3 linked regions of the Canis lupus familiaris genome follow. The protein of the gene in region 3 interacts with the protein of the main gene of each other region in a pairwise test. Links are inferred from orthologs where the notes say so. Each region holds a gene or a part of one and is shown on either strand. Other genes may lie near its edges.

Region 1 (4,854 bases), on a different chromosome or scaffold from region 3:
AATACACATATACCTTGACCCAACAATTTTACTTCTAGGCACTTACATGAAGAAAATAACCCAATAATGTATAAAGAAGTATGCATGAGGATATTCATCACAGCATTATGATATGAAAAAAAACTTACAGCTAATTTCCAAACAATATTAACATACTATAGTCAAAACCATGTAGTGATGAAAGACATGTAGAAAAAATACTTAAAGAACAAAGTGTACTTTTTGTTTCAGAAATATGCGCATGTAGTTAGAAAATATCTGAAAGCTGAAAGGTTCTTCTTCAGAAATACTAACAGCATTCTCTAGATGGAGAGATTAAGTGCTTCCTGATTTCTTTTTGCCTTATTTAAATAAAATCCTTCTTTAAAGCCCAATCTACAAAACGGACAAAAATAGAGCCATTCTTGTGGGGGGGACAGAGCTGATGTCCACTCAGCCTTCTTCCTTGCCTCTCACAGGCTGCTGTACACTTTGAAAACTATAATTCAATACATTCAGCTTACGTTATCTACATGCCACAACAGAACTAGAGGAGAAAGCAAAAACATATTCAATCTAATGTTGACTTATTTCTTTATTTAGCTTTTTTTTTTTGCAACTATAAATTACAATCACTGGTACACCTGTAATTCTTTATAGTGTGTTCAACTAAGAGAAAGCAAACACAGCATAGGTCAATTTAAAAGAAATCACAGTACTTCTTAGTGTAATCTGCAAAAGAGGAAAACAGTCTTGGGCCCACTCCTTGGAAATAAATATCAAGTAACCATAAAAATATTCAGCCATTTTCCAGGTATTCAGGGAGGTTCATGCATGGTCCCAGGCACAGCATCAGAGTTCCTCTTTGAAATATCCCAGCTTTGCCAATGACATCTCTTTTCTCAACTGCATAACTTCCCAAAACATCTGATCAACTATACAAATAGAAAAGGAGACACATAAATCACAAGATGCCATCTTAATTATTTTTCAGCTGTTTCACTGAAAACTTAACATTAGCTGAAATGCCATCTGGGCATTTCCTAATGACCTATCTAATGCCTCACCATTTTACTGCTAAGTCAAACAAATTTATTTACTTTGGGTAAATACCCAGTAGTGAAATCACTACATTTTTCATGTATCTGTGACAATCTCAGTGTTATCAATAAATGAGCAAATATTCACCAGTTTTGCCGCAACTATTTGTTAGGTACGTCAATGACCACTTTAGCCCAACAGAAGGTAGACACTTCAGTGTCCTGAGTAAATAATGGCAATCTTTTTGCCTTCATAAGCAATTACCCTCAATCCTCAATTATTCTAACTTAGGGATCTTCTTGCTCTAGTTTGCTACATCTTGGCCATTCCACTGTTTGTTAACACCAGTGCAGAATGAAACAGGAAAATAAGAGTCCAGAGAACTCAGTAACATTCTTTGTGGGAATAACAGAGAAAGATTTTGCATATGGCTCAAATTAAAAATAGAAATAAATGTAGAGGTCGATCTGTAGATGTCAATTATCTCTACTTCAGACAAGCCCTCTCTGCTGAGTCAAAAAAAGCTGGCTTTATATTTCAGACAAAAAGTCTTCCTCTAACATGTCCTCAGATTAGAGACTGATTTAGATCAGTGGTTTTCAACCAGTGGAGATTTTGTCCTCAAGGGTACATCTGACAAAATGTCTGGATACGTTTTTCATTACTGGCATCTGAGTAAAGCTCAGCAATGGTGTTAAACATCCTACAACGCACAAGATAGTCCCTATGCACCACAACAAAGACTTATCCAGCTCAAAATGTTAATAGAACCAGGCCTGAGAAACCCTGCTTTAGATTTAGCTGCCCTAAATCCCTCTGGCACAAGGCACAGATAACACAGATTTTTAAATTACAGTATTAATTTGCTACAAACCCACATGTTATACGATGTGTACCAAGTACTGTGAAGAGGGAGAGTGACAGAAATCAGAGAAGAGGCCACTTCTATCGCCATCACCCTACTACCACTCACGACAATTTCTCCTTTTCATAAAGGAAATTATGAAAGGAAGATGAAAGCATCTTCCCTACAAAAACTTCTTTAACAAGGAGGAAAAAAACACACTTGACAATTAAACTTAACATAAATCATCTGTTCTGTGGCTTAAATCCTATGACCACCAACAGGTATTCAAAAATATTTCAATTTTATTGAAGTTGTAAAAAGTCCTGTACCCTTTAAAGACTATACTACTCAGCCTTCTGAAACTCAATATTAATGAGAGGTTTCACCCTCATTCTTTTAGGCAGTAAAATCCAGTTATATGGGATTCTAAATAAATAGGACTCTTCCCAACATACCAAGGCTTTGAAATGCTAACCTAAATTTTTATCAGCATTACTAACTTTTCCACAGAATTGAGATTCACTACTAAGACAGTAGGCCTCTTCTAGGTTTTAAATAGAAAAATATTTTCAGTCCTTAAAAAGATATGAATAGGAAATTTCCTACAACTTCAAATACAAAATGAGTGTAGACTTTATCCCTAGCTTGGGATCTGCTATTTGTTTTAAAACAATCACATATACTCAAGAAACACTGCTTTGGAGCTGGTGGGCCTTTTTCATTTTCATGCCTGGCATTTAAGACATTTGACTACAGAATCATCAGTAATCATGAAAGACTGTATTAAAAATATTAAAACACTTGCATGAGGTTGGCTCTCCTGGATATATCATCTATATGTTTCGGCTGATTCAGAATATAGTAATCTTTATTCCATTCAGAACTATCCTCATGACTGCTTTATTAATTCACACGTGAAAGTAGAAAATACAGAAAAAAATTATTGTTAGATCCTCATGGTTTCCACCAATTAAAATAAATCTGACCATGTCTAGAGCTTACTCATTTTTATTTCTTAAGAGTAAGTTCAATAAGCCTTTTACTCCCCTCATTTTTACTGTCTGGTTTATCAATACACCCCCCCTTAAGAGTTATAACTGATCCTGCTTAAAACTCAAGAGTAAAATGAGGCAGTTTTAAGGGTTAAATACATTTTAAAAGACAGTAGTTCCCAAACTCTCATACAACTATGAGAGATTCAATATGACTATACCAATAATAAAGTTTATTTAAGCATTACTATGTTCTACACTTTCTGAAGGTTTATGTAAATATTTTATAACCAATTAAGAAAACTCACCGTCCTGCTGTTTCACGAGCCCCTGCTGAATATATCGAATGTATGTAAAAAAGTTACATACAGAGGTGATCTAGGCCAAAAGGGGAAAAAAGTCATAAATAGTCAAATGTGTCATATCAAAGTGAGCTGTATTAAAATTCATGGTTAAGTTACTTACCCTGTATCTGCAAAAAGGAGAAATGTAATAATAGTTGCTTGAGTCCCCTAATTTAATTCTGTGTTTACAGGGCTTACTCTGGCCAGTTAGAGCACATTTTCTGCAAAACAATGACAAAATTTTAGTTTTTTAAAATTGGAAGCGTTTTGCTCCCACCCTTCTGTAGAAGTTTCATCCTCACTAACACAACAAGTATTTGAGACCTAGCAGGTACCTGGCACTATTCTACATGCAGACAGGACTGACAAATACAAAGGAATAAACCACCTTGCAAAAATACGGACTCTCAATAATTATAGAAGGGGTGCACTATATTCAGACATACCATCCTTTCTATTTGCATACTACAGACTCTCAGATTTGATATGAGGGCTTTCTGGTTAGAATGAGGCTGTAAGTCTCTTGAAGGCAGAGACTGTATCTTATTCATCTTTAAATGCGAGGCACCAAGCACATGCCTGGCACACACCAGACATTCAATGACTGTTGGTCAAGTGATGAGCCACCTGTCACTCTACTGCTCAGTACAATGATGCTGGACTGTCTTTCAGGGCAGACTCTGAAGGCAGCCTAGTTATTACCCTCCTAAGCTAAAACCATGGCTGAAAAAACTACTACTCCCTATCGAGGCAAAATGAGTACAGCTGTAACTAAAATAAAGTGATTAACAGCATTTTAAATAACATTATAAATTATATAATAAAGAAAAATATGTTACATGAACATTAAATTTCAGCTATACTTACAACAAATATGATACAGATGTGCCTCGATAATAAAGAAAACATATGGAGTGTATTTAAAATAGGGTAATTCTGGGGTGCCTGGATGGCTCAGTTAATTGAACTCTTGGTTTCAGCTCAGGTCATGATCTCAGGGTTGTGATATTCTCTCCTCCTCCTCTTCCCTCCCCTCTGCTCCTCACCCTGCTCACACACTCTCTCATTCTCTAAATAAATAAGATCTTAAAAAAAAATTATAAAATAGGGTATTTTGGAGGTGGCCATTCCAACCACAAAATAATTCTCATCTTTTCAAAGACAGTTTGCCTCATTGTTCTTTTCTTAGAAAATTCCTTTAATGATTTGTAACTATATTTTTAAAACACTAATAACTAGCTTAGGAAGGATAAAAGATCGAGAAATTTAAGGCACAAGTGATAAAGTCCTTGGAATTTCCAAAAGTATAATTTACACAAGAAGGAAAAGTAGCACTGAACTGATAAAAATCCATGTATACACTATTCTTCTGGAAACACAAATATACTTATTTGTCTAGTATTTTGTCTAATTTTGAAAGGACTTTGTTTAAAGTGGTTTTAAAGTATCAACTTCTGAAATAATGAAAGTGTTTCTTACTTCATTTCTAAAGCCATCTTTGAATTGTTCATCAACAGTCAACGTATTTTTATTTGAGCTAAGGTTCAACGTCAAAGCCTTCTGACTTCCAAGTCCGGCATTGTTAATGTGCTACACTTCCTCAGGACCCCTTAACAACTCTAGTCCCCAGATTTCTTTTTTTTTTTTTTCT
Region 2 (4,854 bases), on a different chromosome or scaffold from region 3:
GGATAAGGATTTTGAGAGGTACACTCATATAGGCTGATTTTGAGAGGGACACTCATCTCATATAGGCTGAGACAAATACGAAGTGAAATTGTCATTAAATTGAGGTAGTCAGTGCTATGGCCCAGGTCTAAAAGACTTGTACTATATTTCATTTTCCCTTATTAGGTAAAGGAATATTTAAGCCCATCTTCAATGGAGTCCCAGTTTTCTCAAGATTTCTTTATAAGATACTGATGATTATGGACCAAAAATAATTTGGGTATTTTTCTTCTAGGTTTTTGATGTTCTTAGTAGGTATGGACTGCCTAATGAGGTTCTGATTTTTTACTATGAGTATAATCACTAAACATATGGTTGACATTTTCTAAAAATTCTAGCCCTACCTGTTTTTTCTTTGTCTTTTATAATGAGGGAAGGAGTTAGGAGAGAGGCATACACACTGAAAGAAGAAAATCTATTACCTTGGATAGAAAGAAGATGAGTCAGATTGTTAATATATATGTTGGTAGAAAATAGATCTAAAAAAGGATAGAAAAATCTACTTTATCAAATCAATATACCACTACATACCTATTGGAATAGGTAAAATCCAAAATATTGACAGCACCAAATGCTGGTGAGGATATAGAGCCACAGGAACTCATTCATTATTAGTGGGAATATAAAGTGGTATTTATTATAACCACTTTGGAAGACAGTTTGGCAATTGCTTACAAAGTTAGACATAGGCTTACCATATAATCCAGCAGTTGTGTTTCTAGATATGAACTCTAATGAGTTGAAAACACATGTCCACACAAAAACAGGAGAATTAATGTTTGTAGAAAATTTATAATTGTCAAAAATTGGAAGCACGCCAGGTATCCTTCAATAGGCAAGCGGGTAAACTGTGGTGCATTCATATCACCAAGTACAATTCGGGGCTAAAAAGAATTCAACTATCAAGATGTGAAAACACATTTGAGGTACCTTACTATATTAATGCATTTAAGTGAAAGAAGCCAGACTGGAAAGATTCCAATATGTGACATTCTAGAAAAGAAAAAACGAAAGTAGAAAGATTAGAGGCTGTCAGGAGTGCAAGGGATGACGGAGGGGAGAATAGGTGAAGCAGAGGGCATTTTTAGGCCAGTAAAACCATTTTGTATGATACTATAATGGTGTATTCATGGCATTATACATTCAAGGCCTAGAGAACTATAGGACACAAAGAGTGAACCCTAATGTAAACTGTGAACTTCATTCAGTGATAATGTATCAGTTTTGTTTCATCAGTTGTTGTAAAGGCACCACGTAATGCCTTCTGGATATGCAGCTAAAATTATACAAAAATAAATAGTTTAAAAGATTTAAAACCATAGGAATATAAATAGATTAAAGAAAAGTTAAATGGACTAAGTATTGCTGGTTGTCGCATACATTAGAAGCCATTTCAGCACATTTTTTAAAAAGATTTTATTTGTTCATGAGAGAAACAGAGAGAGAGAGAGAGAGACATAGGCAGAGGGAGAAGCAGGCTTCCCGCAGGAAGCCTGATGTGGGACTTAATCCCTGTGTGAATCCTGGAATCACAACCTGAGCTGAAGGCAGATGCTCAACCACTGAGCCACCCAGGTACCCCCACCACTCTAGCAAATTTAAGCATAAAAGGAATTTGTTAAAGACTATTAAGTAATTTGTAGAATCCTGGGAGGACCAGATCGAGGGAAGACTGTTTAGCTGGGAATAATATATAAATCACTATGCTGCACTTATTTCAGATCATCAGTATTTGAATAATGATTTCACAGATGCTGAGGACAAGGCATTTTTCAGAGATCTCTGTCCCAACTGCCTCTAATATCTTGATGTCTCTTCCAACATCGGCTGTCTTCACCAAAAAATAATTCCACACAGTGACTACTTTGTTAATGTTTCTCTAGGCATACATGGGTACATCTGCTTGAGTCTTTTGCCACCAATTGAGTTTTCACCTGAACCTAATTTTGTGTCTTCATGGCTCTCCCTGGTACCACAAATCCATGTACATTGCCAATTGTTTCCACCAGAAACAATTGAATCTGAAAATACTGATATTATGTGTGTGTCCCTAGTTAAATAATTATGAGTTTGGTCAAGAAAATTACTTATTTTTGGCAATATGGATTCTCATATCCAATAATGATTAATTAAGACTTCATATATGTTGTCAGAAAGACTGTTTTAAAACAAGATACCTATCTTAGACAAGATATGCTATCTTGTCTAGAAGAGTCAGATGTAGATTTTATGTTCCCTTTGTGATCTTGCCTGTCCAGTTCAAAGAAATCATTTGTTTGCATTTTTCTAAGCCTAATTACATCTAATACTTTATTATATTTTACTAAAAGAGTCTGTGTCAGGTACCTTTAAATACTTTATAACTATTTATTTGGAAGTAGTATTTTTATCACTTACTTTGGTATTACCTGAGTTGGAAAATTTTGATATGCTTACAGCATTCGTCTTAAGAGTCTCAATGCCAACACCGATATAACTTCCCTGGCACGGAAGGTGGTTGAAGAATGTAAACTTATTCATCCCTCAAAATTAAATGAGGTAGAACAGCTGTTGTACTATCTACAGAACCGCCGGGATTCATTGTCAGGAAAAGGTAAGTATAATTCCTTACTTTTTAATGCATAACCAGAGTTCTTTAACTATAGTTTTTGCTTTTGATATTTCAATCATGGGGTTTGTTTTGTTATTGTTTTATTTTATTTTGCCAGTGCTATAAGTAAATAATGAATGAAAGAATAAACCTATTAGTTTCCTGCAGGAAGGCTCTGTATTAGATACTTCTATGCAAAATGATCTGCTTCTGTTTCATATTGTGGTAGGTGTGTATGTTTGTGTTTGTGTCTGTATGTTTGTGTGTGTATGTTGTGTATATTTCATACTGTGGTGTGTGTGTATGTTTGTGTACATATGTGCTAAGGTAAGGAGTGAAAAAGCAAATGTCTGTCATATTGACTCTAGAATAATGAAAGGAGAGAATTTGGGGCGGCAAAATATTTTCTCTACACGATTAGATTTATATTTTCTAAATTTCTTATAGAGATTTAATTTATAATTTGAATGGGTGACTCAAGCATTTAAATGTTAAAATATATGTCATATGTTTTCAACTATCCTAAAGATACAAGTTTTATGAATCTTTCTTAGGAAAATACTGCCTTTTTCATTCATAATGTCTTCCTTGTTGCCATTCTTCTGTCTTCAATTTCTTCATAAAGAACCAACCCATTAAAATATTAAAGCTAAGCAATTATTTTTAGAAGACATCATCAAATATTCTAAACCAAAAATGAAACAAAGTAAAAATACAGACATTTGAATAGAAAGTCATCTCAGATTATTGAATACATATTCTACTTCATAGTACTGATTAAGTTTACATGTCTTTCACCATTGGTGAGTTAAAATGTGGTGCCTTTGAAATAATTCATAAATGCTTAAGTGTTGATTATACTAAGTAGAAAGAAGTAAAAGAAAATTTGCTTGGGCTTTTTTCAAATTATTCTGTCTTTTCTATTTACAGCAAATGAAATGCCTTGTGTCTAACATACACTTTTATTAGTTAGCTCTGAATATAATATCTAATGTGATCAGTATGTATTTTTGGATTAATTAAGTGATGTTAAATTTATTTAAAAGCAAAAATAAGCAGTTTGAATTTGATTCCATCCAACTACATAACTGGCATTCAATGTATGTTAATTATTCATAATAACTGCTATAAGGAAAATATTAAGAATTTTTATTGTTTCATGATAGAATATTCTACTTAAGATCTCTATAAATGAGGGCGATAACTCCTTTGATAAATAAGTTCAAAGTGAGCAAAGTAAATCCTGTATTCTAGCAAGAAGTGTGTGTACTTATTTTGAGTTATACAGTGTCCTTAAAATTGATCTTTCCTCATGCCTAATTAATTTAATCCCAAGTGCATTTACATTAGAGTATCTTTACTACTAAAACCCTTGAACTGTGTTTTCAAGGTAAATTAGTTTTCTCACCTTCTTCCTCCCAAATTAAAGGAATATAAGGAAATTTTCATGTCAACATGGGTAAATCTGTTCAAATCAATCTGCTTATGTAGATATTAATGTTTTGAAGACATAAATGAAATACTGTTGCTATGTTAAATACACACTTATTTTTAAAAAACTATTCCATTTTTCTTTTTTAACTTTTTTACTTGATATTCACAATTTCAAAGCCAGAATCTTGCACCCTAAAAGTGATTGAAACAAAATAGTAATCCTTAATTTATGTGATTCCTTACCTTCAGTGATTTTTTTTCCATTTTAGTTTTTATATTACTCAACTTATTAATGTATCATTGCCTTATTGATTTTCCTCCTCCCATCTTGAATGTGAGTTAAGAAGGGACTATATTGCTTCTTGTTGGCGAGTCTGGCTGTTTACATACCCAAAAAGGTAGTAACAAAGGAGGAAATGAAATTATGACTTTGGGATCATTTATACTCTCCTTGATATCCTCATTAGAACAGGTGGATTATAGGTGAACAGTTTTGATTTTTTTATTTATCGGGAAAAAGATGATTTTATAAACTATTCAGTTTTAAGATCCTCAACTCAGCCATAATTGAAGTCAGCTGCTAAAAATAAAAATTGCCCAGTAACTCTAAAAACTTAGTTCTTCTCATTAAAAAAAAAATCTTTTTACAGAAAAAAAAGAAAAATCAAGCAAGCCTAAAGATCCACCTCCTTTTGAAGGAATGGAGGTAAGACTGTATTCTGATCTAATAGATAACTGATTGATTGTAAGGTTGTTCCATTTTCCCATCAATAATTCATATAATAACATTA
Region 3 (3,494 bases):
CAGCACTGTTTACACCTGAAATTGATCTAACATTGTTATGCCGACCAATCCAATTAAAAAAAAACAGGGCTCATGTTCTGTATGAAATGACCCTGTGCAGGGCACTTGAGTGGCTCAGTAGGTAAAGCATCTACCTTCGGCTCGGGTCAAGACCCTGGGATTCTTGGACCCAGCCCCACATGGGGCTCCCTGCTCAGCAGGAAGTCTGCTTCTCCCTCTCCCTCTGCTCCTCCCTCTGCTCATGCTCACACTCTCCCAAATCAATCTTTCAAAAGAATTTTTTAAAAATGACATTAAAATCTTTAAACAAACAAAAAAAAAGGGCAGGCCAGATAGCTCAGCCGTTTAGCGTCTGCCTTCGGCCCAGGACATGAACCTGGACACCCGGGATCGAGTCCCACATCGGGCTCCCGCATGGAGCCTGCTCTTCCCTCTGCCTGGGTCTCTGCCTGCCTCTCTCTCTCTGTCTCTCATGAATAAATAAAATCTTTTTTAAAAAAGGAAATGACTTTATGCCTTTGTCCAAAACCAGAATGTGCAACAGAAAAAGGAACCATCAGTCCTGGACTAGGGCTAATAATGTATCAATGTTGGCTCATGTAACATTTGATACAAAATATAACATTTGATACAAAGTAACTCAGGGATGGTGAAGGAGGCCGGAGGGAGGTTCCAGGGAACTATCCAATGGCTCAGTTCTGTAAACCTAAGGCTGTACTAAAAATAAAGTTTATCAACTATTTCCAAATGAAGGCTTAGGTTAGGGGGCAGATTCCATGGGTATTACGGTAGTCGAACACACCAGACTTCCCGATCTTCTGGATGGCAGGGGAGGGAGGAATCAAGGACAGCTGCCAGGACTTGAGCAACTGGGTGGCTGCTTGGGCCATGACAAGACAGGACGGCACCAGATAAGCCCAGTGAGCAGCTGGACTCTAGGCATCAGGAGCCCAGCAAGGCAGCAGCAGAGCATCTGCCTCCCGGCAGGGACCAGCCTCCAGAACTCCAGGGTGTCCCTCTCCCGGGCCCAAAGGTGCCGAAAGCCATCAGACATGGGAGCCCCACCTCCAAATCCCCTCTACTTGGCTCTGGAGGGCATGCGGTGCTGAAAGGCTGTGATGTCCATAACCACAGGGACACAGAGTGGCTGGAGAGAGGTGGCCCCCTGCCCGCCCCCCATGTGCATACTCGCACACACACACTCCCCAAGGCCACTGGGGGAAGTTTATTGGGAAACCTCGAGGGGCGAGCACAGGATGGGCAGGCCAGGGTGGGGTGAGGAGCAAGTGCGGGCTCTAGGAGGCAGAGTCAGAGGCCTCTGAGCTGTCCTTGACGTCGGTGCTCTCTGTGGTCTCGCTGACCTCGCTGAGATCCTTGCTGTCGCCCCCGCTATCGTCAGCAGCCAGGCCTCTCTCGTCACGACAGGCGTCTCCAGAGCTCGGAAGCGAGCTGCCCCTGCCCTCCACCTTGTTCTCGATGGCGCCCAGCACCACGTGTCTGCCTTTGTCCTTCAGCTCCAGATGCCTTCGCAGCTGCCGCCAGGAGCCCGGGGGGACGGAAGGGGAGACGGGACCTAAGTCTCCTGAGCACGCAGGCCCTCCGCCGCCCCCCACACCGGGGATGAAGGGCGGCAGGCCTGGGGCAGGAGACCTCTTGGGCCCTGCAATCTCCTCTGAGTGAGCGTGCACATGCCTCCCTCACACGGGCTGCCACCAAGCCCTCAGAACGGCCCTGGCCCCTGACGAGCCTGGGGCAGGACCCTGACTTTCTCCTCTGCCCAGCCGAGTCTCACCCCTGAGACCAGGGGACCAAGTTCTGGGCGCTTCCAAGAGCCTCCTCCCTCTCCTCTGCCATCACGCCTCAGACAGGACAGGCTTTGGCAGAGAAGGGAACATTGGGGTGATACCTCCTTTCCAGCCCGGCCATGGCCTGCTCCCTGCCTGGCAGCTGAGAACGTGAGGGGAAGGGGCGCCGACTGGGCAGCACAGCCTCTGAGGGCCTCCGACAGCCTCAGGCACCCCAAGGGACACTCACCTCGTCAGCCATCTGGGTGAGGTCCCGCTTCATTGCGTACGCGTCTTCCCCATCGGCGTAGTACTTGGGCTCCACTTCGCTGATCCTGGGGGCAGGAGGAGCAGAAAAGAACGACCCAAATCAGAGTTTCAAGTCTCCTCAGTCTTCTGGCATCCTGCGCTAGTGCGGCGGCACGTCTGTCTTCCCCGACGGAGACAGCAAGCCCATTCCGACGCGGCCTGCCCTTTGCGCTCGCCAGCAGTAGGCAGCAAGTAGCACCCAGCGCCTTGCACCCTCTGGGGGTTCCCACTGTCCTGTGTCCCTAAGCTGGCTCCCACACATCTGTTTCTGTGGTTTGCTGTGAGCCCAAGCCCTGAATTAGCTGTTCCCTTCCCTCCATGCCCTGTTCCCTGTCACTCACTGAGCAACCAAGGCTGACTCCTGGGCCTAGCCACTGGAATGGAGGAGGACGGGAGCTGGGACCTCTGGTTCCTGACAGTCACTGCCAGGCCCTGTGACCCCTGCTCTGAGGACCTTAGGGGCCAAGCCTGCAGTGGAGGGTGGATGCACACACTCGGGTACCCTGCCACTGGAAGGGTGTTGGACTTGATGGCCTAGGAGAGCTGGCCAGCCCCGAGACCCCACAACTGTTGGCCACCAGAGACTCTATATCCAGATCAGGACCCCTCCCTGAATGCCTTTCCTGGCGGTCCCTCTTCACCCCCAGCAAACTGAAGCTGAAGCTGTCTCTGGGGGTCCTCCACCCCCAGCCTCCCCTTCGAGCAGCTTCCACCACATCACTTCCCTGCCAGGTTTTCTCTGTTCTGCGCCAGGCACACAGAGACTCCCATGTCCTCAAGTGGGCTTGCCCTCATCCACCAGGATACCCCAGGGCTCTGCATCCCTCCACTGCTCTTGCCGATGACTCTACCTGCCTGGACGTGCTTAGGTTTCCATAGCACCACACTCTCCTTTCTCCTGGTTGCTCTCAGATGCTTCTAGGTGCCAGGCCACCTTGAGCCCTGCTTCTGCTCATGTCCCGGGCCCTCACCTCTACTCCCGAACCTCTACTGAGAAGACTGCGCTTCACCACATGGCCCTCCACCTAGCCCTAGCCGGCATCGAGGGACACAACCAGCCACACCAAACGCTCCTGCATCACAACGTGCTTTGAGCAGACTGCAGCAGGCAGCTGTCGTCCCCACAGAGCCTGAAGGAGACATTCTGGTAATGTCTGGAAGTCCATGGCCTGCTCGCCATCTCAGCTGAGCCCAGGTCTCTCCCCAGTCGCCCACATCCTTCCACCTGGAAGGCAGCTCAGCCTGTCTCAGATGCCTGGATGTGCCAGACTTGGGACCACCCCATTCCATTAGAAAAATCTTGATCTACTTACTGAAAGTTGAGGGTGTTGGAATAGAGGTGCAGGGCGGCCCGGTTACTGCAGGGGAACAAGGCGCTGCTGAGCTGCACAGACTGGGCCA

Evidence for each region. The genes of interacting proteins can lie anywhere in the genome.
Region 1: the proteins of NAA10 (region 3) and RAB3IP interact in binary tests that used the Homo sapiens proteins (3 or more experiments, as listed by UniProt). The two-hybrid records come from large-scale screens. The link is inferred for Canis lupus familiaris from reciprocal best matches to the Homo sapiens genes NAA10 and RAB3IP.
Region 2: the proteins of NAA10 (region 3) and KIFAP3 interact in binary tests that used the Homo sapiens proteins (3 or more experiments, as listed by UniProt). The two-hybrid records come from large-scale screens. The link is inferred for Canis lupus familiaris from reciprocal best matches to the Homo sapiens genes NAA10 and KIFAP3.

The regions. Positions count from the first base shown.
Region 1 is NC_049231.1:12,070,835-12,075,688, reverse strand, and holds the end of RAB3IP (rab-3A-interacting protein), read right to left. Parts: intron 3,425-4,854; coding exon 3,325-3,424; intron 3,238-3,324; coding exon 3,168-3,237; intron 2,766-3,167; coding exon of another isoform or gene 2,719-2,765; exon of another isoform or gene 2,673-2,718; intron 915-2,672; coding exon 832-914; 3' UTR 555-831; downstream 1-554. UniProt on the Homo sapiens protein: Guanine nucleotide exchange factor (GEF) which may activate RAB8A and RAB8B. Promotes the exchange of GDP to GTP, converting inactive GDP-bound Rab proteins into their active GTP-bound form.
Region 2 is NC_049228.1:28,534,404-28,539,257, forward strand, and holds part of KIFAP3 (kinesin-associated protein 3), read left to right. Parts: intron 1-2,477; coding exon 2,478-2,632; exon of another isoform or gene 2,633-2,636; intron 2,637-4,713; coding exon 4,714-4,769; intron 4,770-4,854. UniProt on the Homo sapiens protein: Involved in tethering the chromosomes to the spindle pole and in chromosome movement. Binds to the tail domain of the KIF3A/KIF3B heterodimer to form a heterotrimeric KIF3 complex and may regulate the membrane binding of this complex.
Region 3 is NC_049260.1:122,963,746-122,967,239, forward strand, and holds the end of NAA10 (N-alpha-acetyltransferase 10), read right to left. Parts: intron 3,452-3,494; coding exon 3,407-3,451; intron 2,120-3,406; coding exon 2,035-2,119; intron 1,533-2,034; coding exon 1,296-1,532; 3' UTR 1,205-1,295; downstream 1-1,204. UniProt on the Homo sapiens protein: Catalytic subunit of N-terminal acetyltransferase complexes which display alpha (N-terminal) acetyltransferase activity. Acetylates amino termini that are devoid of initiator methionine.